2 linked regions of the Stegostoma tigrinum genome follow. The protein of the gene in region 1 purifies or fractionates together with the protein of each later gene. This does not show direct contact. Links are inferred from orthologs where the notes say so. Each region holds a gene or a part of one and is shown on either strand. Other genes may lie near its edges. The genes, in order: hdac5 and prkd1.

Region 1 (14,941 bases):
TGGTGAATTTCTGCAGTCATTCCTGCCACCTTAGACTGATGGTGATACGAGCATGAATGAGCTGTTCAGTCCTTTGAGCCTGTTCCACCATTAAATAAGACCATAGCTGATCTGTGACCTATCTCCAAATACTTGCCTTTGATCCATACCCTTAATTCCTTTCACTAACAAACATTTATCTATTTCAGAAAGAAAATGAGCAACTGTTGTAGCACCAACTGCTGTTTCATAGTATCATAGAGTCCCTACAGTTTTGAAGCAGTGCATCTCTCGCTCTATCTCGTTCTCTCCTCTCTCTTCTTTCTTCCTCTTTGCTCCTTCCACCACCACCACCAACCCAGGCTAAGTCTACATCATTCCAGTAAACCCATGTTGTGCCCTCTCCAAGGCCAATATTTATGAGCTGCAGTGTCCATATCTGCTCATAATTGTCCAAGTGGGGCTAACCATGATTTTGTATGGCTGCAGCATATCTTCTACATCTTTATACTCCAATTGTCTCAACATTAAGGCCACAATTTCATTAGTCACCTCGATTATTTTCTGTATCTCTTTGTGGAATTTTAGAGATCTGTGCATGTGAATATCTTGGGACAATCTTTGTACAGCCACTATATTTGCAAATGCAAGGTTTTGAGTCACTCCCCACAGAATTTCTAGCCCCTGACCTGCTCCTGTGGCTATAGTGTTGATTGTGTCCAGCTATGTTTCTGGTCAGTGGTAAACCCCAGTAGATTGTTAGTGAAGAGTTTGGTGATAGGGATGTCATTAAATGTCATGGGTAGTTGGTTGCCTCCTTTTGTTGGAGATTTTTGTTGTACAGATATTGCTGAGTTTGGGCAGGGACTGCTTCAGTATCAGAAGAGCCCCAAATCGTCTTCAGTATTGTTCGGTCGTCAATAACCATCTTCATTTCTGACCTTGTGATTGGAGGAAGGTTATTGATGTAGCTGAAAATGATAAGGCCTAAAGTTAGACCATAAGCCATAAGAGTGGAGGCAAGGCCATTCGGCCCATCGAGCCCATTCTGCCATTTAATCGTGGCTGATGGGCATTTCAACTCCACTACTCTGCACTCTCCCCTTAGCCCTTAATTCCTTGTGAGATCAAGAATTTAACAATATCCGCCTTGAAGGCATTAAACATCCCGGCCTCCTCTGCGCTGCGTGGCAGTGAATTCCACAGGCCCACTACTCCCTGGCTGAAGAAATGTCTCCTCATTTCTGTTCTAAATTTACCCCCTCTAATTCTAAGGCTATGCCCACAGGTCCGAGCCTCCCCGCCTAACGGAAACAACTTCCCAGTGTTCACCCTTTCTAGGCCATATATTATCTTGTAAGTTTCTATTAAATCTCTCCCCTCAACCTTCTAAACTCTAATGAATATAATCCCAGGATCCTTAACCATTCATCGTATGTTAAACCTAGCATTCCAGGGATCATCCGCGTGAATCTCCGCTGGACACGCTCCAGTGCCAGTATGCCCTTCCTGAGGTATGGGGCCCAAAATCTAAATGGGGCCTAACTAGAGATTTATAAAGTCTCAGAAGCACATTACTGCTTTTATATTCCAACCCTCTTGAGATAAACAACAACATTACATTCGTCTTCTTAATCACAGACGCTACCTGCAAGTTAACCGTTAGAGAATCCTGGACCAACACTGCGAGATCCCTTTGTACTTCTGCTTTATGAATTTTCTCACTGTTTAGAAATAGCCCATGCCCGTATTTGTTTTCCTCAAAGTGCAAAACCTTGCATTTGCTCTCGTTGAATTTCATCAGCCATTTCCTGGACCCCACTCCTAAACTGTCTAAATCTTTCTGCAGCCTCCCCACCACCTCAGTACTACCTGCCTGTCCACCTATCTTCGTGTCATTGGCAAACTTCGCCAGAATGCCCCCACTCCCTTCATCCAGATCATAAAGTTACTGCAAAAAAATTCATGCAATACCTTTGCTTCAGGGTGATAGGCTTCCAAATAATGTAGCCATTTTGTGCTGTGCTAACTGTCACTCTGTGCAGTGAAGAGTACCAACCCTTGCCACCACTGCCACAGTTACCACCACCACCACCATCCTCCTGATCCTCCAGCGATGTCAGTTTGTGCAGGGACTCCTTGATATCACATTAGGGCAGATGCTGCCATGCTGATGAAGACAATGACTGTCACCTAACTTCACATTTTCAACGAGATCTTCTGTTTAATCTTTGGATCAAAACTCTTGTGAGGTGAGGCATAAGGTGGTGCAGGAGGAGCTCATACTGAGGTCAGAGAACAAATTATTGCTGAGCAAGTGCCACTTGATAACACTGTTTGCTTGGGTCATCACTTTTTTGATGATCAAAACTAGACTGATGGGACAGTATTTGGCCAGGTTGAATTTTTTGTCTTTGTTTTGTATGCAGGTTGTAATTGTACAATTCTTCACTTTCAGTTTTGGTGCTAGCATTATAGTTGCACTGGAACATTTGGCTAGCTCTGCATCTAGAGGTGCAGTGCAAGTCTTTGTTGTTATAGTAAACATGTTATTAGCCAGCACTTATTGCACCTGGAGTGTGCCAGTTGATCAAATATGCTGGATAATCAAGAGGTCTGCATCACTGCAAGGCTTCAAGACATCAACATCCCTCAAAAAAAATTCATGTTAAAAACATCAACACACTTCCTAAAATCACTGTCAAAATACACAGCAAGTAATAGAAACATAATGCGGTGAGTATATGCATCACTGTTCTACTTTGTTCACACCATCAATACTTGGATGTTGCATTGGATCGCAGTTTTTGATATATATAATTTTATCCGGTTTATCAAGACTGCTGGTTGATAAGGTGCCAGTTAAGCAAAGCTTGCTGTACAACATAAATATTTTCAGAACCTGTTGCTTTTGTAATATCCAGTGCCTTTGATATTTTTTGATGTGTGGAGTGAATTGGTTTGGCTGAGGATTGGCATATGTAATGCTGGGGACATGAGGATGCTGAGATCAGTTATCCCCTCAGCAGATCTGGCCCAAGATGATGGCAAACACTTCAACTTTTCTTTTACACTGATATCCTGGGCTCTCTGTCGTGGAGTTGCTTAGCAGGGCCAAATTTGACCAATTGTTTCACTTTTTTTTAATCAATTCCAGAGAGTGGAAAATTCCACCCTACAAGGGACCTAACCAGAAGCCTTCTGAAAATCCAAATATGCGCATTGACTGGTTTTTCCCTTATCTGTTTTAATAATTACATCCTCAAAAACTCCAGAAGACTAGTTCAGCATGATTTTCTTTATATAAACCAAGGCTGACGTTGTCCAATCCTGTTAAATGTTATTGCATCTTTTATAACAGACTGGAGCATTTTCCCCACTACTTCTGTCGGCTAAGCTGGTCTGTTTTTCTTTCCTTTCCCTTCTTTTTAAATAATGGAGTTACTTTGTCACCTTCCAAGGTGCATGAAATGTCAAAGTCTGTGGAATTTTGAAAGATGACCATCGGTGAATCTAATATTTCCAGTGCCACTTCCTTTAGTCCTCTGAGATGCAGATTATCAGGCCCTGGGTACTTTTCAGTCTTTAACCCCATTAATTTCTCTAGCACCTTTCTTTTTACTAATACTGATTTTCTTCAATTGATCCTTGTTGCTATACCCTTGGCTCCTTAATATTACTGGAAAATTATTTATGACCTTGTCTCTGAAGACAGAACAAAATGTGTTCAGTTTTCTCTATTTCCTTGTTATGCAATTGCATTTCCACATTTTCTGACTGTGAGGGACCTACATTTGACTTTACTAATCTTATTCTCTTGGCATATTTATAGATGCTTTTATTGCCTGTTTTATGTTCCTGTTTGTGCTGTTATCTTGAATGATGCTTGGTACAACATTGTATTTTTACTGGGATGGGATGGTGGAGGTGGGGCCAGGTTTGTAAGAAGAACATGGGGTGCATAGCAAACAATGTAAAACGATGTGGCTAATAAATATTGTGGCAAGAGAAGCAAAATTCATAAAGTTCTTAAAAAGAAGTACAAGGCTGATGAACACCTAATGCTTTCGGGGAGATTGGATAAAGAGGCTCTTGAAGGTTTACAAAGAGTTTCCGCAGAGATTGCTGGCTAGGTTAGCACTTTTGATCTATCCCAATTGCCACTGAAGGTGAAAGAGAGCCACCTTCACCAACATTGCAGTAATATTTGCAGGGAAATCCACAATGCTGTTTGGAAAGGAGTTTCTTCTGTGATCTTGACCAAGCAGTAGTGAAGGAACTGTGATATCATTCCAAACCAATTGGGAAGGAACTTACAGTTGGTGGCATTCCCAACATCATCTGCCCTTGACTTTCTAGGCACTGCAACCTATGGGTTGAATAGGTCCTTTCTGAAGAGCTGTGGTAAATTACTGGAGTGCTTCTTGTTGTTGGTACAGTGTTGCTGCTCTGTGTTGGTGGGAGAAGGATCACACACTGAACATAATGGGTGAGGTGCGAGTGAATGAACTGCTTTGACCTGGGGTGGAGTCAAGCTTTTTGATTTTGTTGGAGGCCGCACATATCTTTTCAATGGATTACTCCTGAGCAGCGCATTAAAAGGCTATTTTCTTTATATTATTAAATATGTTAAATGAGCGGCAAGTACTCTTAAAAATTAATTAATTTTGCCATTGGAAGATTATTTTGTAATAATAGGATTGATTAAACAAATTGTATTGCCATTGTATGGTGATCAACATTTTCAATCTGAAGCAGGTGTGAAACAGTCCCATAGTTAATCTTAGGTACAGCAATGTTTGATTTAACTTGTGGCTATGTCAGACGTTGATTTAGTGACTCTCAAGCAGTTAAATAGAAGCTCCAACAATTCTTGGAATCTTTTTCAATTTTTAAACAACAGGGGACTTCAAACATCACAGCAGTAATGCTTTAGTGCTCACGAAGAGCTTTTTAGTAAACATCACAGGGCATTGTAAAAAGGTGCTAATAACAAGGAGTAAAACTATGTAATTTTCCCTGCAAAATAGGCATTTACTGTAATAATTTGTAGTCCAATGTGGATGTTACACTGACAAAAATGATTGGATCCATGTTATCCACGTGCTGCAAGAAGAACCTTATTACAGTGTTTGTAAAATTCTTCAACAGTACTTTTATGGCATTTTTCTACTTTGGCAATATTCTTGTGCTTTTTTTTATGTTCATCCCAATGCCACCCACTCTAATTAGTAGAATCACTGTAATGTAAGAGAGGTATGAGTGGAGGAGGTGCTCTATAATTTTATGTTGTGCATAGTCTCAGGTGCAATTTAACGGCATTGTACTGAGGAGCTGTAGCTATGTTGTCTGTTATCACTGAGGTTGGGGAATACGCAGATCCGTATCAGCATCCTTGAATGCAGCAACTAGTGCTGTTCTTCACTGTCAACTTCATGTGCTTTTAAAATGGAAAGTAGTTAACTGAAAAGGAGGATCCTTTTAATATATGAAACTTTTATATGATTATAATGGGCTTCTAGGTGATCTCATAACCATTGTGTCATTATACATCCCTGTGTATCTGTTTCCAGAACATGCTGCATACTCTAAAACTGACCAATCCACCAACTGGTCTTTCAATAAGTAGACAGAGAATCAAACTGATGGACACGTTGCTGCATTTGTCGAATTATATTTGGCACTAGTGTCTGTGCAAGCTTTCCTTTTTTATTCCTTTTGGATTTGTACACTTTGCTAATTGTTCACTTCAACTTGCTTACAGAGCTTTAAATGGTCAGAGCTGAACTAGTTGTCATTCCGCTTCACCCTACCTCACTGCACCCCGCCTCCAATTATTGCACATAGTGCATGGTTATTGTTAGAAAAAGAGCAAAAACTTTAATGGCGATATTGTTTATTTTCTTAATTTGTCGTCTTTCTCGGACAAATTAAAATGGGTAAATGCAAGCTGTAGTCACTTTTTTTGAGATGAGCTCGAAAGCAGAACAAAAATAATAATTAAGTTAATATTGGTAAAGTCAAACATTGATATTATTGAAATGAAGTTTTGGAAGGATGACTAATTCACCATAGCTGAATGGTTAACCAAATTGAACATAAGTCAGGAATTTTAAAAGTTGCTCTCATTGAATTAGAAGTATTACTTTTACTTGACTTTTCCTCTTCAGTCACTAAGAGAAAATGTCCACTGCTTTGTGATCAATGCTACACATCAGATTTTTAATTTGTGTTTTCTAATAAAGGTTCTGGCCCAGTAGGGTTGATATAGACTTTAGTTGTCCCCCCAAGAATGTTTGCCTTAGTAAATGTAAATGAGCTAAGCAGGTTATTTACCCTCAGTCCTCTTTCTGAATTTATCCGTCATTACTTTCATGAAAACGATCAAAGAAGTCTACAATCTCTCATCCAGTTTAAACTGTCATGAATGCTTAAAGTTTAAATTTTTAGGAGTGATTTTTATTCTACCCTGTTCAATGTGCAATATGACATTGTTACAAAACCTCTTCACAAATTGAGAGAGTTAAAATAAGGATTATTTCAAAATTGCTGTTTCGATCTGATTATCAATTACTCGTGAACCAACTTTTTAAAAATGTATGACTGAAGGAACTTTTTGAAAGCCTTGAGGTTGCAGTTGGTGTGATTTTTTTTGCTCTCTGTTTCCATACCATCTTTGTTATCTCATTGCACTTATGCTGAATATACAGTAGCATTTAACTACTCTTGGCAGTAACATTCATGGAGTTAAAATGTGCACGAGCTAGGAAATCATATTTTAAAGCAGCTGATTGGTTGCCTATGTTTGTGTGAATGTTCCTTATTCCCAGAGCGTGCATGACCTATTTATAGCCGGCTCCTCCTGTTATTCTATTTTGGTGCACTTCAGGCTGTATTATTGTTGACTTTTATGTAAATGTGTTTGCCTTTAATGCAGTAGGCAGATTGTAGGGTTCCTTACTTTCATTGCGAGTGAGAGGATTAATTTTTTTATTGAACTGTGTCTGTCTGTGTATTAAGGTTGTTTTTTGGTAAAGGACTTTCCCTATCTAACTACAATGTTGCATGTTGTCTCATTAATGCCTTGCTAAAAGGAAGATGACTGAGTATTTGTTGTTGGATTGAAAATCACAACGCTAATTCAGGATGTTTGTTCCACTGCATTTCACCAGGCTTGACTGTGTTAAAAGGAGCTGGAGATTTTTCTACACAGCCTTCAGCAACAGGATTTAAAGGATAAAACAACACTCAACAGCTTAAAAGTTTGTAAAAAGTTGTCTGTAAAAGAAGATTTGAAAACTATTCTGTATTTGATGACTTTGTCATGTTACTGAAGCCCAAAGTGCCTGGACTTAAAAAGATGTTGCAGACTATTTATGAAACTGAATCATGTTTTTCCTCAGATGGTGTATCTGGACAAGAGCAGCCCCTAGAATTGTTGCCACAAAGTCGGATGCACACTATGCCAACATCAGGTAAGCGAAGTAATTCAATTGCTGTTAGTATCCCAGCATCTGCAAATTACTTCAAAGGAACTTAGGTACAGAAGCCTTTTCTATCTCATTGAATTCTTGCGTTATTAAATATGTAACATTTAAAAATATTTAGATGAACAATTTCTTATACTGTTTATGAACGACAGTATTTGAAATAAGGTTGGGTAAGTTAGAATCACAATAATGAATTCATTACTTCATTGCATGCAAATGTGTTTTAGTTTCTTCTTAAAAGATGGATTGTGAAAGATTCATGGATTTTGTCTGTTTTCAGCATTTCAATATTGGTGTGAATTTTAAATAGTTCTAAATATGTGTTTTTGAGCGTGGTTATTTTCAGAATCTGTTTATTCAGCACGTGGTAGTTATCTGTCAGCACTAGATAGCTATGTGATACCATACTTCTTTTTGAGGTATGCCAAAGCTAAGAATATTTAGATATTTTTAGCTGTGGAAACTTAAGCTTCTTAACGTTGCCAACACAGCTTTTAAAACAAACAGTTAATCCAGCTTCCATTATTTTAATTCACTGTAGTCTTGTTTAGCATGTTAAATGGGATGAATTATGTTTTTCAGAGTTAAAATGTGGTGTCAAGGCCCAAGACCAATAAATCTAAACACGATGCAATTTAAAGGCAGGGCTATAATATTCTGTTACTATGTTGATACCTTGCAGTTTGTGCAGCAGCAACACTTATGTCGGTTTACTGATAATGTGTAGTGTCCTCCCATCCCCCATTTTCAGGTAAGGTTGAAAATATCTCATGGAAAAGCTTTACTCTGACTAAATTTGTACATGACAAAGTTCAGAGTGCAGCGTTACCCAGTTTTAGAGAGGAGCAGTGTTTCCAGTTAACACTGTTATTGCTGAAGTCAATTTATTTTTCATTAAAACAAGATCATGAGGGCAATATGAACTAAATCACTTGTGACTTATCTGTACTTCAGTAAACAGGTGGTTAGGTTGGTTTTTAACTGTATGTTGACTGGTTTTCGTTTCATTAGTTTAAAGTGGTGCTTTTGTTACTACTCATTTGGTAATAATAGGCACAGTTTAAAACTGTTGAATGAACAAATAGCATTCTGTTGAAAATTTAAATCAGGAATTTAACTTTTTTTTCAATTGCTAAAACTGAGGGAAATATTAGAGCGACAAACATGAATAAAGCAAGTTAACCATTGCTTTAATTAAGCATGGTCAAAATAGAAATTTTGATTTTATATTAAACAATAGAATATAAACTTTCAAAATATTTTAAATAAAATATCAGTAAAAGAAGTATGTTTCCTAAATATATTTTAAATATTTTTAAATACTTTTTAAATTCAACTGAATATATATGGGAAGTTTCAGTGCAATCCATTTACGTTTCTCAACATGGCAATCGTAGCAATTAACCGAACATTACTGGGGGCATTGCGGCGTGAGTCATCTTTTGTCTTTGTTCATTAACTGTACTAGACGTTCATGTAAACTTCTGCCACTGTCAAGTCTCTTGTATGTTTCATGGAGGCGCAACTTCCTCTTCATCACTAAATCAGATGGCTTTCTTTTCATTGGAAGATAACTAGGAAACTTGAGATAGTCAGTAATTTGGCTGTTTTCTGCACAGCATATTTATTTATTATCATTGTAACTGCAGTTCTTGCCAAGACAGCCTGTACTTATGGTAAAATGTTTGACTTTGAGCAGAATTGTTTCGGAAAAACACAGGTTTTTATAAACTCTTTACCTAGTTTGTAGAAGGTGTGCGTAGTAAATTCTCACACCCTCCAATTCTTCACTTTTTATAATTTAATTTACAGACTGCACTGTTCCTGGTAGATTTTTGCCCTTTAGATCGGTAGAGTATTTGCCATAACTTTACTTGATAATTCTTGCACATGTAAAATCTAATAACATAGTGGCACAATTTTGTAGAAGAAGAAAAAGATTTGAAGTTATAGCTCAAGTTTTTTGCATCATGTCTAAATTCAAAACTCAAGAATATTTAAAAAAAAACGATAGATAAATTCCTTATATCTTGTATGAATGACGTTGCATACCTGTAATAGTTTTAGCCTTTTGTTTACTTATGCTTACATGGGATGTGAGTGTTGTTGACAAGGTCAGCATTTAATGCCTGTCCCTAATTGCTCTTGAACTGATGGGCTTGCTGGACTAATTTCAAAGGATAGTTAACAGTTGACCACATTGCTGTTGTTTTATAGTTCACTTTCTGTTAACATCTATTTGCTGCCATGCCTACGCAATGTAGAGGCTTCCCATGCAATTTTGAGGAGATGACACATAGTGCCAATGTATGGAGATAATAAATGTGTGCAGAAATGTTGTTCAGCAATAACTTGTTCACTAATGCGAGTTTGGGTTCCATAGGAGCCATTCAGCTCCTGTTTTCATTAGTCTAGTTACAACTGTGGACAAATAACCTGAGCTCCAGTGGTGAGATCCTTACTTCAAGCAGGTTGAAGTATAAAAGTAGGAAGTTTTGCTGCAACTGTACAAGGTTCTGGTGAGATCATATCTGGAATACTTTAAGCAGTTTCAGCCCCCCTCATTTAATGAAATATTACTTCATTATAGGCAGTTCAGAGAATGCTCACTAAGATGATCCATGCTGTGCAAGAATTGTCTTACAAGCAAAGATTAAACAGGTTGGGATTCAACTCATTGGATTTTAGAAGAATGAAAGGTGATCTCATTGATACATACAGGATTTTTAAGGGACAAAAACAGAAGTTGCTGGAAAAGCTCAGCAGGTCTGACAGCATCTTTAAAAAGAAATCAGATTTAGTGTTTCGGTTCTGATGACTCTTCCTTAAAACTGATCACCAAACTTGACATGTTAACTTTGATTTCTCTTCATAGGTGTTGTCTGATCTGCTGAGATTTTCCAGCATTTTCTGTATTTCTTCCTGGCTTGCAGTATCTGCAGTTCTTTTGTTTTTTATTTAGGATTCTAAAGTTTGACAACGTAAATGCTGAGAAGATTTTTCCCACAAGGGAGAGAATAGGAGCAGAGAACATTGTCTCGGTATAAAAGGTCACCAATTTAAGACTCTGATGAGGATAACTTTCTTTGAGTGTGTGTCTTTGGCTCTTGTTGACACAGTGACTTGTGGGAACAGAGTGCTTGTGTATATTCAAGGCAGGGTAAGGACAGGAAAGTGGGCATGAGGAGTAGTGGATTTGATTGACCCAATTGCATGACAGAGCAGGCTTGAGGGGCCAGTGGCCCACTCCTGTTCTTCTTTCTTATGATATTATTTGCCTTAGGCGAAATTGACTATATTTGACAGCAAGACAGCATTTGACATATATAGCATTAAGGAACCGCAATAAGATTGCAATCCAGGGAAAATTCTATGCTGCTTGGAGTCGTATCTAGCACAAAGGATGTTGAAATAAAATGAAAGAGAAACAGAGTTAACTTTTTGAATCCACATAACACTTTTACAGAATTGAAGGAGTCTGTGAACTTTATGGGTTAAGTTGCAGGGAGAGCAAGTGGGCTAGATGATAACGGTACCCGATTGCAAAAAAAAATGTTCGTGATAGTTGAGGAAAGCTATGGATGAAGGTTATCTAACAGTGGTATGTGTTAATAGCAGACAATAAGTCAGCTTGATTGAAGCCAACACATTTCAGTAAGACACTCATGGAAGGAGAATCAAAATAAACAACAAAATGTTCATAGCCTGTGGTTGTTGAATTCACCGTTGAGTCCTGAAGGGTTTATGTGCCTAAGTGGAAAATGAAGTGGTGTTCCTCCAACTTTGCTGGAACATTTTAACAGGCTTAGATCAGAAATGTTAACCTGAGAACAAGATGGTATATTGAAATGGTAAGCAACTGGTAGGTCAGGATCATTATTTTAAATAGAATGGAGATGTTTTGCAAACTGGGCTGAATTTGTGCTTGCCAATCTGGAAAGGAATGTGTTGTCAGTAGTGAATATAGTAGAACATATTGGAAAAAGTGAAAATAACTCACTGCTTCATACAGAAGGTGTGTTTGAACTTTGGACAGTGAAAATGGATGAGATTAAAGGGCAAGTGAGGCACTTTCTGCACAGGAATGTGCCATTGACAGATGCATGAAGAGATGTTGATAGTGACAGGAAGCGTATCAAGTTGTCATTGGAGGGAATAATTTCTGTGGAGGACTGACAGGGTTTGGAGTGATGATGTGTTTGGTGACATCCTGCTGGAGGTGACAAAAATGGCAAAGTGTGTTTCTTTTGAATGAGGAAGCTTTTGGGGTGAAAATGAGAGCCCTGTAGCTTTTCAGGAAGACACCAGAAGAAGTAGGTACAGAAGTACAGGATCTAGGTCAGCCATGAATGAGGGCTCCATCAGCCATTGTAGAAAGGAATACACAATTGAGGGAAAAGGAAGACATGACAGTAGCACTCCTGTTGAAGGTGTCATCATAATGGATGTGACCGAAATGGAGAAACTAAGAGAATAGAATGGAATCTTTAAGGGAAGCAAGGTAAGGAAATGTGGTCAGGTAATTGTAGGAGTTGGTGAGTTTCTGTTGTACATTAATGGCCAGCCTATCTCTTGAAATGGGGTCTGAAAAGTCAAGGAAAGTAAGGAAGAATCAAAAATGGGCAAAGTGAAAGTAAGAAAAGGATGGAAATTAGAAGAATGTTTCCAATTCCATACAATGCAGGAAACAAATGCAATTATTGATGTATGGGCAAAAGAGTTGCGGGAGGGGCCTCTAAGTAGGACTGAATGAAGTAATGTTTCACATGCCCTTCTGAGAGTCTGACTTAACAGACAGTTGCAGGTACCCATAGCCATATCTATTATTTAAAGAAAGAGATGAGATAACGGAGAAATGGTTTAAAGTGAGAACACACTCAACCGAGTGGAGGACAGTATTGATGGAGTCTTCTTAGGAAGAAGTGGAGAGCCATCAGACCATCCTCTTAGAGGATCAAGATGTAGAGGGATTATAATATAAATGTTTTATCTAGGAGAGCATGTCAAAAGCTAGAAATTCATCAGTACGTAACTCATCTCCTGATTTCCCAGCACTGGCTCAGTAGTTAGCACTGCTGCCTCATAGGACCAGGAACTCTGGTTCGATTCTGCCCTTGGGTGACCATCAGAGTGGAGTTTGTACATTCTCCATGTGTCTGTGTGGGTTTCCACCAGGTGCTCCGGTTTCCTCCCACAGTCCAAAGATGTGCAGGTTAGGTGGATTGGCCATACTGAATTGCCCACATTATTCAGGGGTGTGTGGATTGGGTGGGTTATGGGGGATGGGTCTGGGTGGGCTGCTGTAATGGTTGGTGTGGAGGCGGTAGGTTGAAGGGCCTGTTTCCACACTGTAGGGATTCAATGATTTTCTATGATCTGTGATTTTGCAAGGCACTGGTGAGGAGTACTATGGAACATCCTTCACTTGCAAAGAGGGGTGCAACTCTGACAGTACTAAAGAGGTTTCTCACCGTCCAGGACAAAGCAGTAGGCTGGGTTTACAATCCGCCCACGTCCTTCCTCCTTCATTGATGCAGGCAGCAGTGTGCCAACTGCAGTAACTTACCAGGTACCTCTGAGAGCACCTTGCAAGCATGCAAGCACCATGCAGATGCATGGGAACATCGCCACCAACAAATTCCCATCTGAGTGTCGCCATCCTGATTTGGAATTGTATTCCTATTTCTCAACTGTTGCTAGATGAAGTCTTGGAGCTACTTCCCTAACAATATTTGTGGATGCACCTGCACCCAAAGATGTCCAGTAGTTGAAAAATGCAACTCAGCACCACCCCCTCAAGGGCCATTAAGGATGATCAATAAATGCTGGCTTATCCCATCAATGATTTTTTGAAAAAAATCATTTTGTTATCAGTAAATTTGCTGATGTAATGTTTACATGAAATTGCAGCAAACAGATTTTAAAATGAGCTGACCAGTTTCACCTCTGATGAAGGGTCTAGGCCCGAAACGTCAGCTTTTGTGCCCCTGAGATGCTTGGCCTGCTGTGTTCATCCAGCTCCACACTTTGTTATCTTGGATTCTCCAGCATCTACAGTTCCCATTATCACTGACCAGTTTCATTCGTAGTTTTAAAAACCCATGATTTAAACCATTTTTCAGAAATCAGCTTGCATGTTCAACGTGTTTGTTTTTAAATTTTGCTTCTCACCTTCAGGTTGTTTTCTACATTATCTTCCCTGTTAATTTGATGCTGCGTTCCTTGCTGTGCTCATTTATTTACTCTTATGCCTTCCCTGCTTTCCTTTCACTACCTTTTTTTAAACACTGACTCGCAACTAGTTCTGTTCACAATAAGAACAGGGTAAATCTCTCTGCCAAGAATGTAGGGCAAGCATCTTTACTTTTTATGTAGATCAAATTGTTCCATTTGAAGTATTTCTGCCATGACTAATGACTGTGGTAAAATTCACCACCACTTTGACAAGTATGTACACTGAAGGCATAATACTTTTAAAAGAAGAAATCTCTGTTTCATTGCCTCCTCTAGAGAAATGTAATCTGAGTTTGCAATGAGTTAGTTGCATTCTGTCAATCACTAAGTCACAAACATAGATTTCATTGATATTATGCAGATAATGAAATGCAGGATTTCATTTTCAGTTGGAGCCTTTGTCTATGAGAAGATATTAACCTGATTCATTCCTTTTAAATTACAAGAAATATTTTTAAATTGACAGCTGACAAGTCAGAAAAGAGCTTGTCACTGTTACAGATGTATTTGTAAAAATCATTTTATTTTATTGTTTTATTTTGAATAAACTTCTATGTTCTATTGCAAAAAATGACTGGGTTCTCCAGAAATCCACAGCAATCTGATTTCTGCAATGTATCGTATAAACTGATATGCAAATTTCATTACATACAGAGTTGATATTTCATTCATTCGAAAACAGTTAACATAAGAACTTTTTAAACTTGTAATGGGCAGTGACAATTTTTTGTTTTTCGTTAGAGCAACTCAGCCAGTTAAGATCTATTCCAGACATTCAGCCATCTGCAGACGTGGCCATTATAACTTGTTTCTATTGTAGTCGTAACTCAAGTCAGAAAAAGTAAGCAGAATCATGAATGTAGTGGAATTGGGGTTCAGTAGCAGAGTTGCAAAGTATAGAGGGGGAGCAATATTGACTAGAATTTAGAATTTGCCACATCTAACTTGGAAAAATGCCATGAGCTAAGATATGCAACTAGAGAAGATGGGATTTGAAGCATACTGTTAGGAAAGTGTGTATAAAGTAAAAATTAAATTTGAAATGATTTGACACAAAATCAGATGTACTTCTGTTTTCTGGAGGTGTGTAAGCGTGAGAAAGTACTGGTTTCAAATGCAGGAATAAAGATGTATTACTCCAGTTACACAGTGCTTTGAGGCCTTACATGTAACATTGTGTGTGCAGTTTTATTCTCCTTAGCTGAGGAGGATTTTCTTTTGCTCTGGAGGGTGCAGCA
Region 2 (15,926 bases), on another chromosome or scaffold:
AGAAGAACCCTGCCTTCACACTTGTTAAGTCAGGTGTAGGGGACAGAGTGGCCAGCAGGGTAATGGGTATGGATGAGGACATACAGTACCAATGCCATGTGGAGAAGCTATTACTAGCAGGGTGCCCATCCAAGGGTCTAAGAATGTCAGGTGTGGAAAGGCAAATTCCAAACTGTAAGGAATGCAGGAAAATATCAGACACCTCATACAACACCCCCAAACCCACTCCCCACTCACCTACGGTACAAAATGCCATGATGGCAGGAAGGTAATGGGGTCTCCACCCTTTGCCCTCTTTGCTACTTTGCAGAGATCCCTCTCCCTTCCCTCACATCTCCTGCATCTGAGCCCCTCCCCATGAGGCCAGTAAAACCCAACTTGCTGTTCTGAGCAAGAGTTAGAAAATGAAATGTTCCCTGAAGACCTTGAGACCCTGAAGACTGTTGCTGGGAGAGCTTCTTTCTCCTTCTCTTCCTCCTTTAAGTTACTTGAGACTCCCTCCTGCTTTTCCCTCTCTTTCCGCAAGATAGAAATGACAACATTTCCACTGGGAGCAAGTGGTTGGCACAGGCCTTCTTCCCACACTAAACCACTCACTCCCAACTTCCACTCACTCAGCAGCAGCTTGTAGATTTTAATTAGCAATTGACCTGAAAGTTATTGATGATCCCTTCAACTAGCCTGATCTGTGTTAGTATGTGCATGTGTATATGTTGCATGTGTGAATACGTGTATGTGTACCTGTGTGTGTGTGTGTGTACATGTACATGCGTATAAAAATGTGCATATATGTGTACAGGAGGGTGTGAAAGTATATGTGTATTTGTATGTGTGTATGTTTCTGTGTCCATGCATGAATGTATTTGTGTGTGTTAATGCATGAGAGACAATTGTGTGATCTTTACCGCTGTTGCATTTAGAGCCATAGAGATGTAAGCATGGACACAGACCCTTTCGTCCAACTGATGCATGCTGACTAGATATCCTAGATAAATCTAGACCCAATTGCCAGCATTTGGTTCATATCCCTTTAAACCCTTCCTATTCATGTATCCATGCATATGCCTTTTAGATGCTGTAATTGTACCAGCATCCACCATTTCCTCTGGCATCTCATTCCACATATGCACTACCCTCTGCGTGAAAAAGTTGCCCCTTAGGTCCCTTTTAATTGTTCATAGAATCCTTGCTCTGGGGAAACAGGCCCTTTGGCCCAACAAGTCCACACCGACCCTCAGAACATCCCAACCAGACCCATCTCCCTATAACCCACCTAATCTACACATGCCTGATCACTATGGGCAATTTAGCATGGCCAATCCACCTAACTTGCCCATCTTTGGACTGCAGGAGGAAACCGGAGCACCTGCAGGAAACCCACACGGACACAGGGAGAATGTGCAAACTCCACACAGGCAATTGCCCAAGGGTGGAATTGAACCCGGGTCCCTGGGACTGTGAGGCTGCGGTGCCAACCACTGAGCTACCATGTCACCCCCTTTCATGTCAAACCTAAGCCCTCTAGCTGCAGACTCCTCTACCCCAGGGAAAAGGCCTTGTCGATTTACTCTGTCGATGCCTCTCATGATTTTATAAACTTCTAGGGGTCATCCCTCAGCTTTCGACGCTCCAGGGAAAATAGCCCAGCCTATTCAGTTTCGCCCTATAGCTCAAACTCTTCGGCCCTGGAAACATCCTTGTAAATCTTTTCTGAACCCTTTCAAGTCTCACAACATCTATCCTACAGCAGGGAGATCAAAATTGCACACAGTATTCCAAAAGCGACTTAACCAATATTCTGTACAGCTGCAACCTGACCTCCCAGCTCCTACACTCAATGCACTGACCAATAAAGACAAGCATACCAAACACTTTCTTCTCTATCCTGTCTAACTGTGACTCCATTTCAGGAAACTATGAACATACACTTTTTTTAACAAAACTTTTTAGGCCCTTGCCAATAAGTGTATAAGTCCTGTTCTGATTTGCCTTTTCAAAATGCAGCACGTCACATTTATCTAAATTAAACTCCAACTGTCAATCCTTGGCTCATTGGCCTGTCTGATCAAAATCCCACTGTCGTCTCGGATAACTTTATTTGCTATCCACTACACCACCAATTTTGGTGTCATCTGCAAACTTACTCACCATACTTCTTATGTTCACATCCAAATCGTTTGTATAAATGATGAAAAGCAGTGGATTCAACACTAATCTTTGTAGCACACCACTGGTAATAGGTCTCCAGTTAGAAAAGCAACCCTCCACCACCACCCTCAGTCTTCTACCTTTGAGCCAGTTCTGTATCTATATGGCTACTTGTCCCTGTATTCCATGTGATCTAATCTTGCTAACTAGTCTACCATGAGGCACCTTGTTGAATGCCTTACTAAGACCGTAGAGATCACGTCCACTGCTCTGTCCTCATCAAATCTCTTCATTACTTCTTCAAAAAACTCAATCAAGTTAGTGAGATGCGATTACCCATGCACAAAGCCATGTTGCCTATCCCTAATCAGTCCTTACCTTTCCAAATGCATGTAAATCCTGTCCCTCAGGATTCCCTTCAACAACTTGCCCACCACCAATGTCATACTCACCCCTTTATAATTCCCTAACTTTTCTTTACCACCTTTCTTAAATAGTGGTACCACATTAGCCAGCCCCCAGTCTTCTGGCACCTCACCTATGGCCATCAATGATACAAGTACGTCCGCAAGGGGCCCAGCAATCACTTCCCTAGCTTCCTACAGAATTCGAGGGTACACCTGATCAGGTCCCAGGGATTTATTCACCTTTGTGTTTTAAGCTGTCTAGCACCTCCTCCTCTGTAATATAGATGTTTTTCAATATGTCGCTATCTATTTCCCCACATTCTATATCTTCTATATACTTCTCCACAGTAAACACTGATGCAAAATATTCATTTAATATCTCCACCCACTCCTGCGCTTCCATACACGGGTGGTTTTTAAGGACCTTATTCTCTCCCTAGTTACCCATTTTCCTTAATTTGTTTATTAAATCCTTTTTAAATTCCTGCCTAGCTTCCTACATTCTGTCCTCAGAATCTCATCCTTTTCACTTCCAATATCATTAGTTTCAAAGTGTACAACAACCTCCTGCTGGCCCCTCTCCCCTTTAAGAATTTTCTGAACCTCCTCAGAGATATCCTTCATCCTGGCACCGGGAAGGCAATACATCATTCTGATGTCGCAAAGTCAGCCGCAGAAATGTATGTCTGTGTCTCTGCCTCGAGAGACCTGAAGCACAATAAAAACCAAAGGAAATGCAGATGCTGTCAATCAGGAACAAAAACAGAAGTTGCTGGAAATGTTCACCAGGTCTGGCAGCATCTGTGGAGAGAAATCAGAGTTAGCATTTCGGGTCTGATGAACCTTCCTCAGTTGTGCTCCAATACGTTAACTCTGATTTTTTTCTTCACTGATGCTGTCAGACCTGCTGAGCTTTTCCTGAAACACAATCGATTGCTTGGTACCTGGCATGCCCCTTGTTACATTAGAGCCAGTCTCAGTATTAGAAACTTGGCTGTCAGTGCTACATTCCCCTGAGAGTCCATCTCCCACTACATTTTCTAAAACAGCATACATGTTTGATATGGGGATAGCCCATCTCCTGGAGACTTCTGCACTACCTGCCTCCCTCTCCTACCTTTCCCGGAGGTAACCCATCTATCTGACTGTATCTGTGGTTTTTCTCCCTTCCTGCAACTACCATCCATCACACCCCCTAGCTTTAGTAAATTCCTCAATGCCTCTAACTGCTGCTCCAACTGATCTATGTCAGCGGATCAGATTCGCAATCAAACATACTTCCTGCTGACATAATCATCAGTAACATGGAAATTCCCCCTGATCTATGTTCAACTCTGTGAGCTTTAGGACAGGGCATTAACTGAAGAGTTGAAATTGAAAATGACATTGCACAGTCAAATCAATGCCACACACAGACTCACACCACATTCTCGATGCTTACAGCTCACAAGGCGGGACGCTGCCTACCCGTAGTGGTAAAACAGGAAGTTGTCAGTCAGTTGGCAGAATGGCATCAGGAAAAGTGCTCTCCTTTCACTGACCAGTAGTTAGCCCACAATTGGGCTTCACATTCAGCACAGTAGTGGTGGGTTGATGCCCTTCACTCGGCATTAATTTTCACTATTGGCCTCAATTAGGCCATGAGCAGACGGCCTGACCAACGTTTCCCGTATTTACATATAAAATCGTGTCAGCAGACAGTCTGCCAGTGGCATTGTGCCCTGATTTACACATCTATCCACCTGCTTTAGCACCTGGGGGAGGCACATACAATTCAGTCTTAGGAATCATTAAAGGCCAACATTGCATTCACTTTTAAGCTATTTTCTTTATTTAACTTCCAGTGATTTGTACACCTGTGCAGTTCCAAGTCTTTCACCATGCAGAAGATACTTTTGATTTATCCATTTTAGATTCACAGTTAATGACCTTGCACTCCTCTTTTTGAATTAATTATTTGCAACATGTGCATTAGTTGCCCTTTCCTAACTAAAGGCTGAGTCTTAACTTTTTTTTGCTAAGTGTAAATTGTTTCGTATCCAGCATTTTGGAGAGTTTTATGCCATAAGGCCTAGCAAGTTTTCTTGTAGCATCTTACCAGATTTACCCCATTAGCTATGTAGAACAAACAGAGAATGCTGGGGAAACTCAGCAAGTTTGGAAGTGTCTATGGAAAGAGAAACAGAGTTAATGTTTCGAGTCTGTTATGACTCTTCTTCAGAGCTTCAGACCTCCTATGTTGGGCATTGAGCAGCAACAGTTTTGCATATGGTCCATAGGCACCAGCCACACACAACCCGCATCTACAGATGTTGGCATTCATGGCAAATCATCAATCCAATTATATCTGTAGACGTGGGTTGCGTGTGGCTGTTGCCCATGGATCATACCCAAAAATGTTGGTGCTCAGTGCCCGACATGGGAGATCTGAAGTCCTGAAGAAGGGTACACCTTTGCATTTCAATGCTGTACCTCAATCTGCATTGATAACCATCATTGATTGTAATGAAGCAGCAAAGACATTACACACTTAGAGACATGCCCTAAGCTCATGGGCTGACCAGGCTGGGCTCTTTGCTTCCTGTCACAATGTTCACTTAATCAGCCCACCTGCATGTTTTGCCTTTGCCCTTTTAGCCACAGACACCAGGCTCAAAGTAAAGCTGTAATGCCATGCTGATTAATACAAAGCTTGTCATGTTTGTCAATAGGCCTCAGTCAAGTCAAGAAAAATAGGTTTTGATCAGGGGTTTATGGCACAGGAAGTCAAGGGCAGCCTCCAAAAGCAGTGCTGCTAGCAAATGGTGAAATAACCAACGCCAGCGACAGACCTACTTAAATAGGATTACATAGAATACGTGGCACAGATTAGTCCTTTGGCTCAACCAATCCATGTCAGTATTAATGTTCCAGTCAAGCTTCCTCCAATCTTTCTTCATCCAGATCGATCTTTGCAAACCTTATTCTCTTCTTGCATATGTTTTCTGAATTAATCTATGCTATGTGCTTCAACCATTCCCTGTAGAAGAGATGTCCACGTTCTAATCATGCATTGGATTAACAAGTCGCTTTGCTTTCTAGCTGGCTATATTTTATTGATGGTCACTAATTATGCTCTTCCCTACAAGAGAAAACATTCTCTCTTCTTCCACTGAATCAAAACTTTTCAAAATCTCATTAAGGTCATCCCTCAGGCTTCATTTTTCAAAAGAAATACAGTCTGAACATCCATTCCACAGTTGTGCGTTCATACATTTCTGCCACCGTTCTTAAAAATCTTCTCAGTACCCACTTCAGTGCCTCTACATCATTTTTATAACAGTGATCAGCACTGCATTCAGTGTTCTAAGTATGATCTAACCTAGCTTTGATATATACGACAATTTCCTTACTTTCGTGTTCTGTTCCTGTTGAAATAAAGCCTGGTGTGTGGTTTGCTGTTTCATTACTTCCCTACTTTCTTGACTTTTGAGTTCTGTTCTTGTTGAAATAAAGCCTAGGGTGTGGTTTGTTGTTTCATTACTTTCCTAACCTGTGGCCCATTAGCAATTTGGTATATTATATTCTGAGATCCCTTTTATTTCCTTTACCCCAGCTACACTCACACCTTCCAAATAAAAAGAGTCCTTCCCTATTCCACCTACAAAAATGTTTAGTTCACATTTATTTGTGTTGAAGAGAATTTATCATTCATTATTGACCATTTTGTTTGTTTATAAATTTCTTTTTGCATTTTGCTGTATTCCTCCTCAGTGCTAACAGTACTGACACCCACCAACACCCTCACCACCACCAATTTGGTGTCACCTGTGAATTTAGAATTTGAGTTTTGTTTCAAATTCTAATTATTCAATTCAAATCATAAAGAGTATCGATCCCACCACTGGTCATTGTGGAACACTATTCCTATCATGGGCCATTCTTATCAACTACTGTTACAACCAAATCTCGAATGAGCTTCCCCAGTTATTTTAGTTACAGATGGGATGCTGAACTTGTTGAGCTCTCGGTTGAGACACAATGAGTTGATTCCACTTCCTTATTCACCTGACCCCTCACAACAAGATTAATTTACAAAGGATTCCCTCCCTGTGGGTATTTTCCTCCCAGGTCAAATGAATTTCTGTTTTAAAAGGAGTCAATTAGACCAGGCTTCCTGAGTCAGCAATAAGGAGAGCTGATTACTTAGGAACACAAGAAGAATTAACAACACAACACACATACACAAAGGTTCGAAAGGAGAAATGAATCCAAAAATTTAAAGTATATACAGATCAGAATCTGTGTTATTTGTGAAATGTAAATAGTGGAATGTTATTGTTGATTTTGAGATTCATTGAGATCCATTTGCCCTGTTTCCTTTTGACTCTGGTTGGCTATCAATACTTGAAACACAAGAATCATCTCTTTGTACCAGAGATAATAGGAACTTCAGATGCTGGAGAATCCGAGACAACAAGTTGTGGAGCTGGATGAAAACAGTAGGCCAAGCAGCATCTTAGGAGCAGGAAAGCTGATGTTTTGGGATCAAGGGTCTAGGCCCGAAATGTCAGCTTTTCTGCTCCTAAGATGCTGCTTGGCCTTCTGTGTTCATCCAGCTCTACACTTTGTTAATCGTCTCTTTGTATTGTTTCCTTTCAGCTGGATAGCTGGATTCCATCACTCAGTCTGAGAAAAAACTTTACCCGAAAGAGCACTGGTATACTAGTCTACTCGTGGCTTCTATCATCAGGGCCAATATGCACTGGTCAAAAAGGAACTGCTTAAGCATTTTAAATTCTGGTTTCATCTGGTCAGGTCATTTCCCAAGGGTACGGAAATTTGAAGGTACACCTCTGGCCCTAACTGGTACATTTGTAAGAGAGCCTTTTATTAAAAACTCCGTGGCAATGAATAATCAGTGGCACTTACCCCAGGCAAGAGGGAGCAAACCTTTATGATCAGTGAACTATGATGCAGGTTTCGATAGTCAAGGTATTCAAGTCTTAATGGTGCCACATTGTCAGAGTCAACTGGAGACTGAAGTTCCGAAAAAAGGTTTTAACTGAATGCTCTCTGCTTTTCTGAAAGCACACACCCTGTTTGGGGTTTAATTCCATGAACAAAGCAGCTCTCTGGTATCTTTCCAAATCTCAATTCTTTTCAGATGTAAGTTGAGACAAAAAGTTCAGAAGTTTGTTCTGCTGCACAAGCTGTCACACTGAATCTGTCCTCATCTTAACATCTAGAGATGCACTGTCTAGATTCAGGTGACTATCAGGTCCAAAGAGTCTGATTACCTTCTGAGCAGGCTCAGTGCTGAGGCCAATATCAGCACTCCAACTGAAATCCGGGTTAATATTAGTAAATTTCACACAGATGGAGAACGGAGGTTTCTTCTAAAGAAATGCAGAGGATGCTGGAAATCTGACATAAAAGCAGAAAGTCATGGAGAAACTCAACATGTCTTTCAGGAGTATGAAGAGGTCAAACCAGACTCAAAACTTGGTTTCTCTCTCCACAGATGCTAACAGACCTGTTGAATTTCTCCAGCAATTTCTGTGTTTTTTCAAACCGGATTTGTTTTGTTTTGGTTAGAACACAAAGCAGCCCTGACTAATGGGATCTGAACCAGAGGTCAGAAAACATCTATGTAATGTGAAAAATGTTTTCAGTCTAGATAGTGACACATTGCAGAGCAGGAGTGTAATTGATAGACTACTTTTCTATCTATCTCAAACCATTTTAAATGAAAAAGATTTAGAACACACTCATGTCAGATTTAGAAAATAACCCACAATTTAAGGTTAGGAGTAGAAACTATAGAGGAGATGTGAGGACAAACTTTTTCACCTGGAGGGTGGTGGCAATTTGAAACTCTCTGCCGGTAAGAATGGCAGAGGTCGGAACCCTCATAACAGTTAAGTATTTAGTCGCACACTTGTGATGCCAAAGTATATAAGGCTATGGTCCAAGTGCTGGAAAACAGGATTAAAAGAGTTTGGTAGTTGTTGTTTGACTGTTGCAGACTGGGGCAGAAGGGCTTTTTTTTGGTGTCGTCGATCTCGCTGACACCATCTGTAATGTTGAGTATCTTACTGCACGACTGTGGTCCCTTGCGCTCGGAATTCATAAAGGTGATATGTTGGGGTCCTCAGCACAAGACCCATTAAAAGAACGGAATAAAGTGGGGAAGCTGCTGACACCAGATGTGTTTTCTGTATAATACAGGATCACTGCTGTCAGTCAAACATACAATGAAATAACATTAATATTCCTGTATGGCAACCTCTCAGCATTTTGGTAATACATAGAGATTTCTCTCAACTGAATATTTAGGAAGTTTTAAACATCAAACATCCCGCCGCGAGGTGACTAATTGTTATTTTCAGTCTGGTATAAAGGGCAGTCTATATTTTGTTGGCTTTATTTTAAATCATTTGAACATTAAGGTAAGGACATTTATTTCAATGCTTTTGTTTAAATTGAGAATAGCAAACTCCAAACTCCTGCACGTTTAAAAAAAATAACGTTGTTGAAAGTTTCTTTTGGCAATATCGGGGGATCAACTCCTGAACCAACCGCAAACCGGGAATACGAGTTCCTTCAGAAATTTTCTTCAGATACTGGAGTGAAGTGGGAGTCATTCGGATGCAGGTGATGGGAGTCTTTCTGTTGGGCTACAGAAGACAGGGCAACGGGACACGGGTCCCTAATCCTAAAGGAAAAATTCAGTGCGTGGGTCACCCCTAGTCACAGACACTCGGCCACAGGAACACAGACGCCAACATCCGACGCAGACACGCACAGATAGGCTCCCCTACTCCAATTCACCCTCACACAAGCAGACACCAAATACACAGAAATGCACACAGTCTCACTGACACACACATATAGGCAGGCACACACCGACAGACACATCGATTCAAATACACGTTCACACCCCTTTCCAATCCCACAGACTGCTCTGACAAAAATATAAACTTGTTTTTGCAATTACACACCGCAATCTGAAAATATCTTTTCTTTAAAAAATTCAACTATACCTTATTAATAAAATAGTATATTTATGTACATAGTCACTAAAGCAGTTCGGCTCTGTACAGTAGCATATGAAGAAACAAACAAACATCGGAGTTTGACTCTATCCAGCAAACAAATCCAGGCATCTGTTACTCGTAAATAGTTATTGCAGGAAAGTGGACTGCTCAGTTTCCAGACCATAGCTGAAACTTAGTTTGCAAAGCTCTGCTGTGTGCAGTTACTGCTCCAGTATGGGGACTGTCTTGTGTCTTAAAACAATCTTTTCGAAGTATTTCTAAGAACAGTAATTAAGATAACATTTGTTCTAAGTGAAAGTGGAAGGGGTGGAACTGCGTTTGACATTCGCTTCAGAGTGACAGCTTGACGGAAAACGTTATAGAAATGTTGATTATAGCCTCACACTACCCGCAGCCCCCACTGCCAGCCCTGCCCCCTGAATTTGCAATGCTAATATCGGCAAACTGGAAAGGCCATCATTAAGAGGGGGAGCGCCTGCTGTTACCCAGTGTCGTCCTTGGCCAGGGCAGGCTTCTGACACGGGTCTTCCAGGTGGCAGGGTCTCCCAGAGGAGAGAAGTGCACTGCTCTGGTGCCGGTGAGGGGAGGGAAGGAGGTTGAAGAATCGGAGATACGGAGCAGAGCACAGCGGACCGAGTTCGTGTGACAAGAGTGAAACCAGGTACGGGGGACATAGAGACACAGTTCAAGAGGGAGAGATAGTGGTGCGGACACGCCGGCTGCGATAGAGACAAACACACACAACAAACGAACAGAAAGTGAGGCAGAGATGGACAGAGGGAACAGATGTACAGAGTTCAGTGGAGAGAGAGAAAGTAAATAAGGGGACAGGGTCCAAATCCGTCCTACTGGCAGTGCCTGGAGGAGGGCAGGGGGTAGCAGCACGGCTCTAGGGACCGGGTCTGGGGGCAGCAGCGGGGGTTGGGGGGGTAATCGGGGGTGTGGGGAGATTTGTCCAGCTTTGGACTCAGCTGCTTTCTTACAGCCGCTTCCTGTTTGCTTCTTTAGCCAAAGCAGCAACAACCCTTCTCCCCCCCTCCCACCTCTGTCGCCATCTTCCGCCTTGCTGACTGTAGCCAGGAGAGTGTGGGACGTGAAGTTCCGAGAGAGAGAGGGAGGGAGTGGAGCTCCGTGCTGCTGCTGATGAATCCGGTCCCGGTGATCCGCTCGGGTAGCCCCTGCTCCCCTTCATCCCCGGGAGCAGAGCGGCTCAGCCCCCACGGTATCCCGTTCCACATCCAGATCGGCCTGAGCAGGGAGCCCGTCATCCTGGACTGCAGTCACTTCTCCCTCGCACATGTCCGCGAAATGGCCTGCTCCATCGTGGACCAGAAGGTAACCCGAGTGTAAAGTTGGCGCGGTCAGCGGGGACACAGGGGCAGGGGGCGAGACACAACGAGAGAGGTCTAAAGATAGACCAGGTGGGGGCAGAGGGGGGTGAGGGAGAGGTGGTGGTCAGACAGAGAGGGAGAGGGGGTTCAGTGAGCGGGGGAAGGTGTTCAGGGGGGTCAGAGAGAGGGGGAGGGGGGTCAGAGAGATTGGTGTTAAAAAGCGCGGAGTTCAGAGAGGAAGGTCAGAGAGAGGGGAAGGAGGGTCAGAGAGAGGGGAAGGAGGGTCAGAGAGAGGGGGAGGAGCATCAGAGAGAGGTAGGGGTGTTAGAGAGAGGAGCTCAGAGAGAGGGGTCAGGAGCCAGACGGGGATGGGGTCAGACAGGGAATGAGGGGGTTTTCGAGAGAGAGGATCAGAAAGAGGGACAGAGTAGGTCAGAGAGGGAGAGAGAACGGGGCGAGAGAAGGGGGTCAGAGAGGGAGCAGAGAGTTGGTGAGGCTGGTAGGGAGGTCTGGAAGAGTGGCAGGAAGAGATAAAAGGGGTGGGGGGGGGGAGATATGCAGAAAGGTAGAGATGGGATGGGGGAGCTGCTGGAGAGGGAGAGAGAGTTGAGGGAGAGCCAGAGAGAGGGGCTGAGGAGAGGGACAGAGTCAAGGGGTTGGGAGAGATGGAAACAGTCATTCAGAGAGAGAAAAAAAACAAGACAGACAGAGTGACGGAACGAGACAGAAACAAAGAAAAATAAGGATAGTGAGAGCGAAAAAGACTTGAACTTTTAAGAAATCGAAAGGAAACATTGTTATGTCAGCGGTCGCGATGTGCAGCGATGTGCAATGGGGTTTTCTGGTGTTGGAGGTTTGGAAATACCACTCTGTCCTGACTTGAGAGATGGAGGCCCCCAGCCCAGGTTGTTTCCATGATGAACCCCTTCCCCCAGCCTTCCCACTCTGAATCTCAACCTTGTCTGCATTCTGACCTCCCCTTCCCCCGCTTCCAAACTAATGCCCCCTTCCCTCTCCGGTATACTCCTTCTCTGGCAGCAGAAAATAGTTTTATCATTCAGAATGAACTGTGCAGGCGGCACAGCTCGTGGTAACTTAAGAGACTTGAACCTCTCGATTCTAGTTTATTTTGGCCGGGCGGTTGGCTGAGTTTTGACAATTGTTTTGGGCTTCCAAAGTGAAGCCGAATAAGACCACTGGGAAAATCTGGATAATGTACCAGGTTTTAGCAAATTGCTGTCTGTGAAACTGTTCTTTGTCATTGTGAGACTGTGATAAACGACATCCACAAATATTGTTACTCCCGTCTGTTAGGGTAGACACTAAGGAGACTGATTTCTGACTACTGTAAATTGATGGATAACCTGCTTTCATGTCAACAAAGTTTAATTTTTAAATAAATATATATTTTAAAACTTGGATTTCCCACAAGAACTGTTTTTGTTTCCACGTTTTGGCAGTTTGATTTCTTATCCAAAACAAACACAAACGAAGTTGGTGCATAAAATTTTGTTTCAATGGTCGAGTATGTTGCCTGGCAACAATCAAATTGTCAGAAATTTTGACTTAAAACAATTGGGAGGTGTTTTGCTTGTCAGAGTGCAAGTGAACAGATGGCCGTGGTCTGCGGTCTGTAGATTTGGATTTAAAACGTTTACAAGGTGGAAAGGCATGTTGTGCCGATAACCGTGGAAGTTACATCCTGGGAATAAAAACAAAACAAACTGTTGCTTTCAGTTATATTTTACAAGCAACACCGACAAGAAAATTGCGGCTAAAATTAATTCTGAGAATTAAAAAAAAGAAATAGCCATAGAGTTATACAACACAGAAACGACAGACCAGTTACGTCCAACTCGTCTGGTCCCATTTGCTACCATTTGGCCCATATTCCTCCAAACGTCTTCTATTCAGGTATCCATCCAGATGCTTTTTAAATCTTGTAATTTTACCCACCTCTACCAGCTCCTTTGTCAGCTCCTTCCATACAGGCATCGGTCTCTGCATGAAAATGTTGCCCCTCAATGTCCTTTTTTTTATCATTCCGCTGTCACTTTAAACCTATGCCCTCTACTTCTGAACTCCCGTACGCTGGGAAAAGACCCAATTCACCCTATCCATGCCCTCATGGTCTTATAAACCTCTATGAGGTCACCCCTCAGCCTCTGACGGTCCAGGGAATATAGCCCCAGCCGGCTTCAGCTTCTTCCTATAGCTAAAAGCCTTCAATCCCGGCATAATCTTGTAAATTTTTTCAGAACACTTTCAGGTTTAACAACATCTTTCCAATAACAAGGAGACCAGAACTGAATGCAGTGTTCTGAAAGTGACCTAATCAATGTCTCGTACAGCCACAACATGAGATCCTAACTGCTATACTCAGTGCACTGATAAACAAAGGCAAGCACGCCAAATGCCATCTTCACAATCCTGACTACCTGCAACTCCACTTTCAATGAACTATATACCTGCACCCCTAGGTCCCTTCATTTGACAACACTCCGCAGGACCCTGCCATTAAGGGTATATGTCCTGCCCTGATTTGCCTTACCAAAATGCAACACCTCACATTTATCTAAATTAAACCCCATGTGCCATTCCTTGGGCCATTGGACCATCACGGTTCCCGTTTACTCTGAGATAACCTTTTTCATTGTCCAATATACCACCTATTTTGGTGTCATCTGCAAACTTACCAATCATTCCTCCTATACTCACGTCCAAGTCATTAATATAAATGTTGGAAAGCAGTGGACCCAGTACCATCCTTACGGCACACCACTGGTCATAGGCCTCCAGTCCAAAAAATGACCCACCACCGCCATTCTCCGTTTCCTACCTTTAATCCAATTTTGCATCTAAATGGCTAGCTTTCCCAGATTCCATGTGATCTAACTTTGCTAACCAGCCGACCATGCAGAATCTTGTCAAACACCGTGCTGAAGTCCATATAAACAATGCTTACGGCTGTGCCTAGATCATTCTGTGTCACATCTTCAAGAGACTAAATCAAGTTAGTGAGACACAATTTCCCACACTCAAAGCCATGTTGCCTCTACCTAATCAGCCCCTTCCTTTCCAAATGCATGTGAGTCCTGTCCATCCAAATCCCTGTGACAGCTTGCCCAACACAGACGTCAGGCTCACTGGTTTGTTGTCCCCTGGCTTTTCCTTGCCACCTTTCTTAAATAATCATACTATATTAGCCAACCTCCAATCTTCTGGCGCCTTGCCTGTGTGGCTATTGATGATACAAATATCTCAGCAAGGGGCCCAGCAATCTTTTCCCTAGCTTCGGACAAAGTTCTGGGATACACCTGATTAGGTCCTGAGGATTTAACCACCTATATAGATTTTAAGATGTCCAGCACTTCCTCTCTGTCATAGGGGCATTTTTCAAGATACTGCTAGTTATTTCCCAAGTTCTCTCGCTTCCATATCCTTTTCCACAGTAAATATTGACTTGAAACACTCATTTAGCATTTGACCCATCTCCTGTGGTTCCGCATATAGACGTCCTTATTCATCTTTAAGGGGCCTTATTCGCTTCCCAGTAACTCTTTTTCTCTTCATGTATTTGTGGAATCTTGTTGAATTCTCCTTAACCGAAGCTATATTATGTCCCCTTTTTGCCCTCCTGATTTCCCTCTTAAGTACATTCCTGCTGCCCTTATACTTCACTAGGGATTCACTCGATCCCAGCTATCCAGGCCTGACATATGCCTCCTTTTTCTTGATCAGAGTCTCAATTTCTCTAGTCATCAGCATTCCCCCCACCTAGCAGCTTTGCCCTTCACATTAACAGGGACATACTGTCCCTGAACTCTTGTTATGAGCAAAACTTAAAATCTAGTGATGTGGGAGGGAAACAGTGAGGCACACACTACCAATGAACGTCATATACTGTCCTTCTCATGTATGCTTCATATACATGTTCAAATGGATACCATATACAATAGTGCATGTGTAAATATACGTATATACTGTCTGTGTTAGCGTTTGGGTCACCGGACCCAAAACGTTAACTTTGATTTTTTTCTTCACAGATGCTGCCAAACCTGCTGAGCTTCCAGCAACTTCTGTTTTTGTTCCTAATTTACAGCATTCACAGTTCGTTCAGATTTTACAAATTGTCTGTCATTGGCTATGTTGAAATTGGAAAGAATTTTCACCCAAAACTTTATTTATTATTAAAACACCAGATGGATTAAGAGTGCCAAGTATCTGATTTTTTTCTATTATTACTGGACCCTGAATGATTAGAAATGTGAAGTAACTTACCCATTGTTGATATAATAAGGTGTTTATTTATTAGCGATCATATTGATAAATGATTGAAATAATAATGAACTTCCATCAGCCTTTTGTTATATTATTGCATGTTTCTAATCAAGTCACCAGATAATTGTCAATTTTAAAAATAAGATACTTATCATTTGGGATAACCAGGTGTACAGCTGGATGAACACAGCAGGCCCAGCAGCATCATAGGAGCAGGAAGTGCTGCTTGGCCTGCTGTGTTCACCCATCTCTACACCTTGTTATTTTGGATTCTCCAGGATCTGCAGTTCCTGTTATCTTTGATACTTATCATTTGGTTAGGTTAGTATTTATGATTTGTTTAATGAACAACAAAACAGGTCAAGGAAGATATTAGTAGTAGGCACTACATAGAAATTACTCTTGTGCTGAGCTCATGACAAATGTACCATGTTAACACAGAGAAATCTCTAAACTGAGATGATGTGGCAATACAGTCACTTTATTGCTTTTATTTCCACTTTATTAACTGATGAATGTTATAAGAATATTTTTAAAGCCTTTGTGAAGATTTTTTTGAGAAGTTTGTAGCTCGGATTGTGGTTGAGCTTGTAGACATGCTCGCCGAGCCGGTGGGTTTGGTTGCAAACATTTCGCCATCCTGCTAGGCAACCTCATCAGACCGCCTCCTGTGAAGCGTTGGTGTTCTGTCCCGCTCGTTAGTTATATTCCTCGGTTTT

What was found.
Region 2: the proteins of hdac5 (region 1) and prkd1 purify together in Homo sapiens (affinity purification with western blotting; 4 studies listed by BioGRID, with this or other methods). This does not show direct contact. The link is inferred for Stegostoma tigrinum from reciprocal best matches to the Homo sapiens genes HDAC5 and PRKD1.

Annotation. Positions count from the first base shown.
Region 1 is NC_081384.1:20,059,010-20,073,950, reverse strand, and holds the start of hdac5 (histone deacetylase 5), read left to right. Parts: upstream 1-7,288; 5' UTR 7,289-7,303; coding exon 7,304-7,454; intron 7,455-14,941. UniProt on the Homo sapiens protein: Responsible for the deacetylation of lysine residues on the N-terminal part of the core histones (H2A, H2B, H3 and H4).
Region 2 is NC_081363.1:61,990,204-62,006,129, forward strand, and holds the start of prkd1 (serine/threonine-protein kinase D1), read left to right. Parts: upstream 1-9,967; 5' UTR 9,968-10,256; intron 10,257-10,603; 5' UTR 10,604-10,738; coding exon 10,739-10,930; intron 10,931-15,926.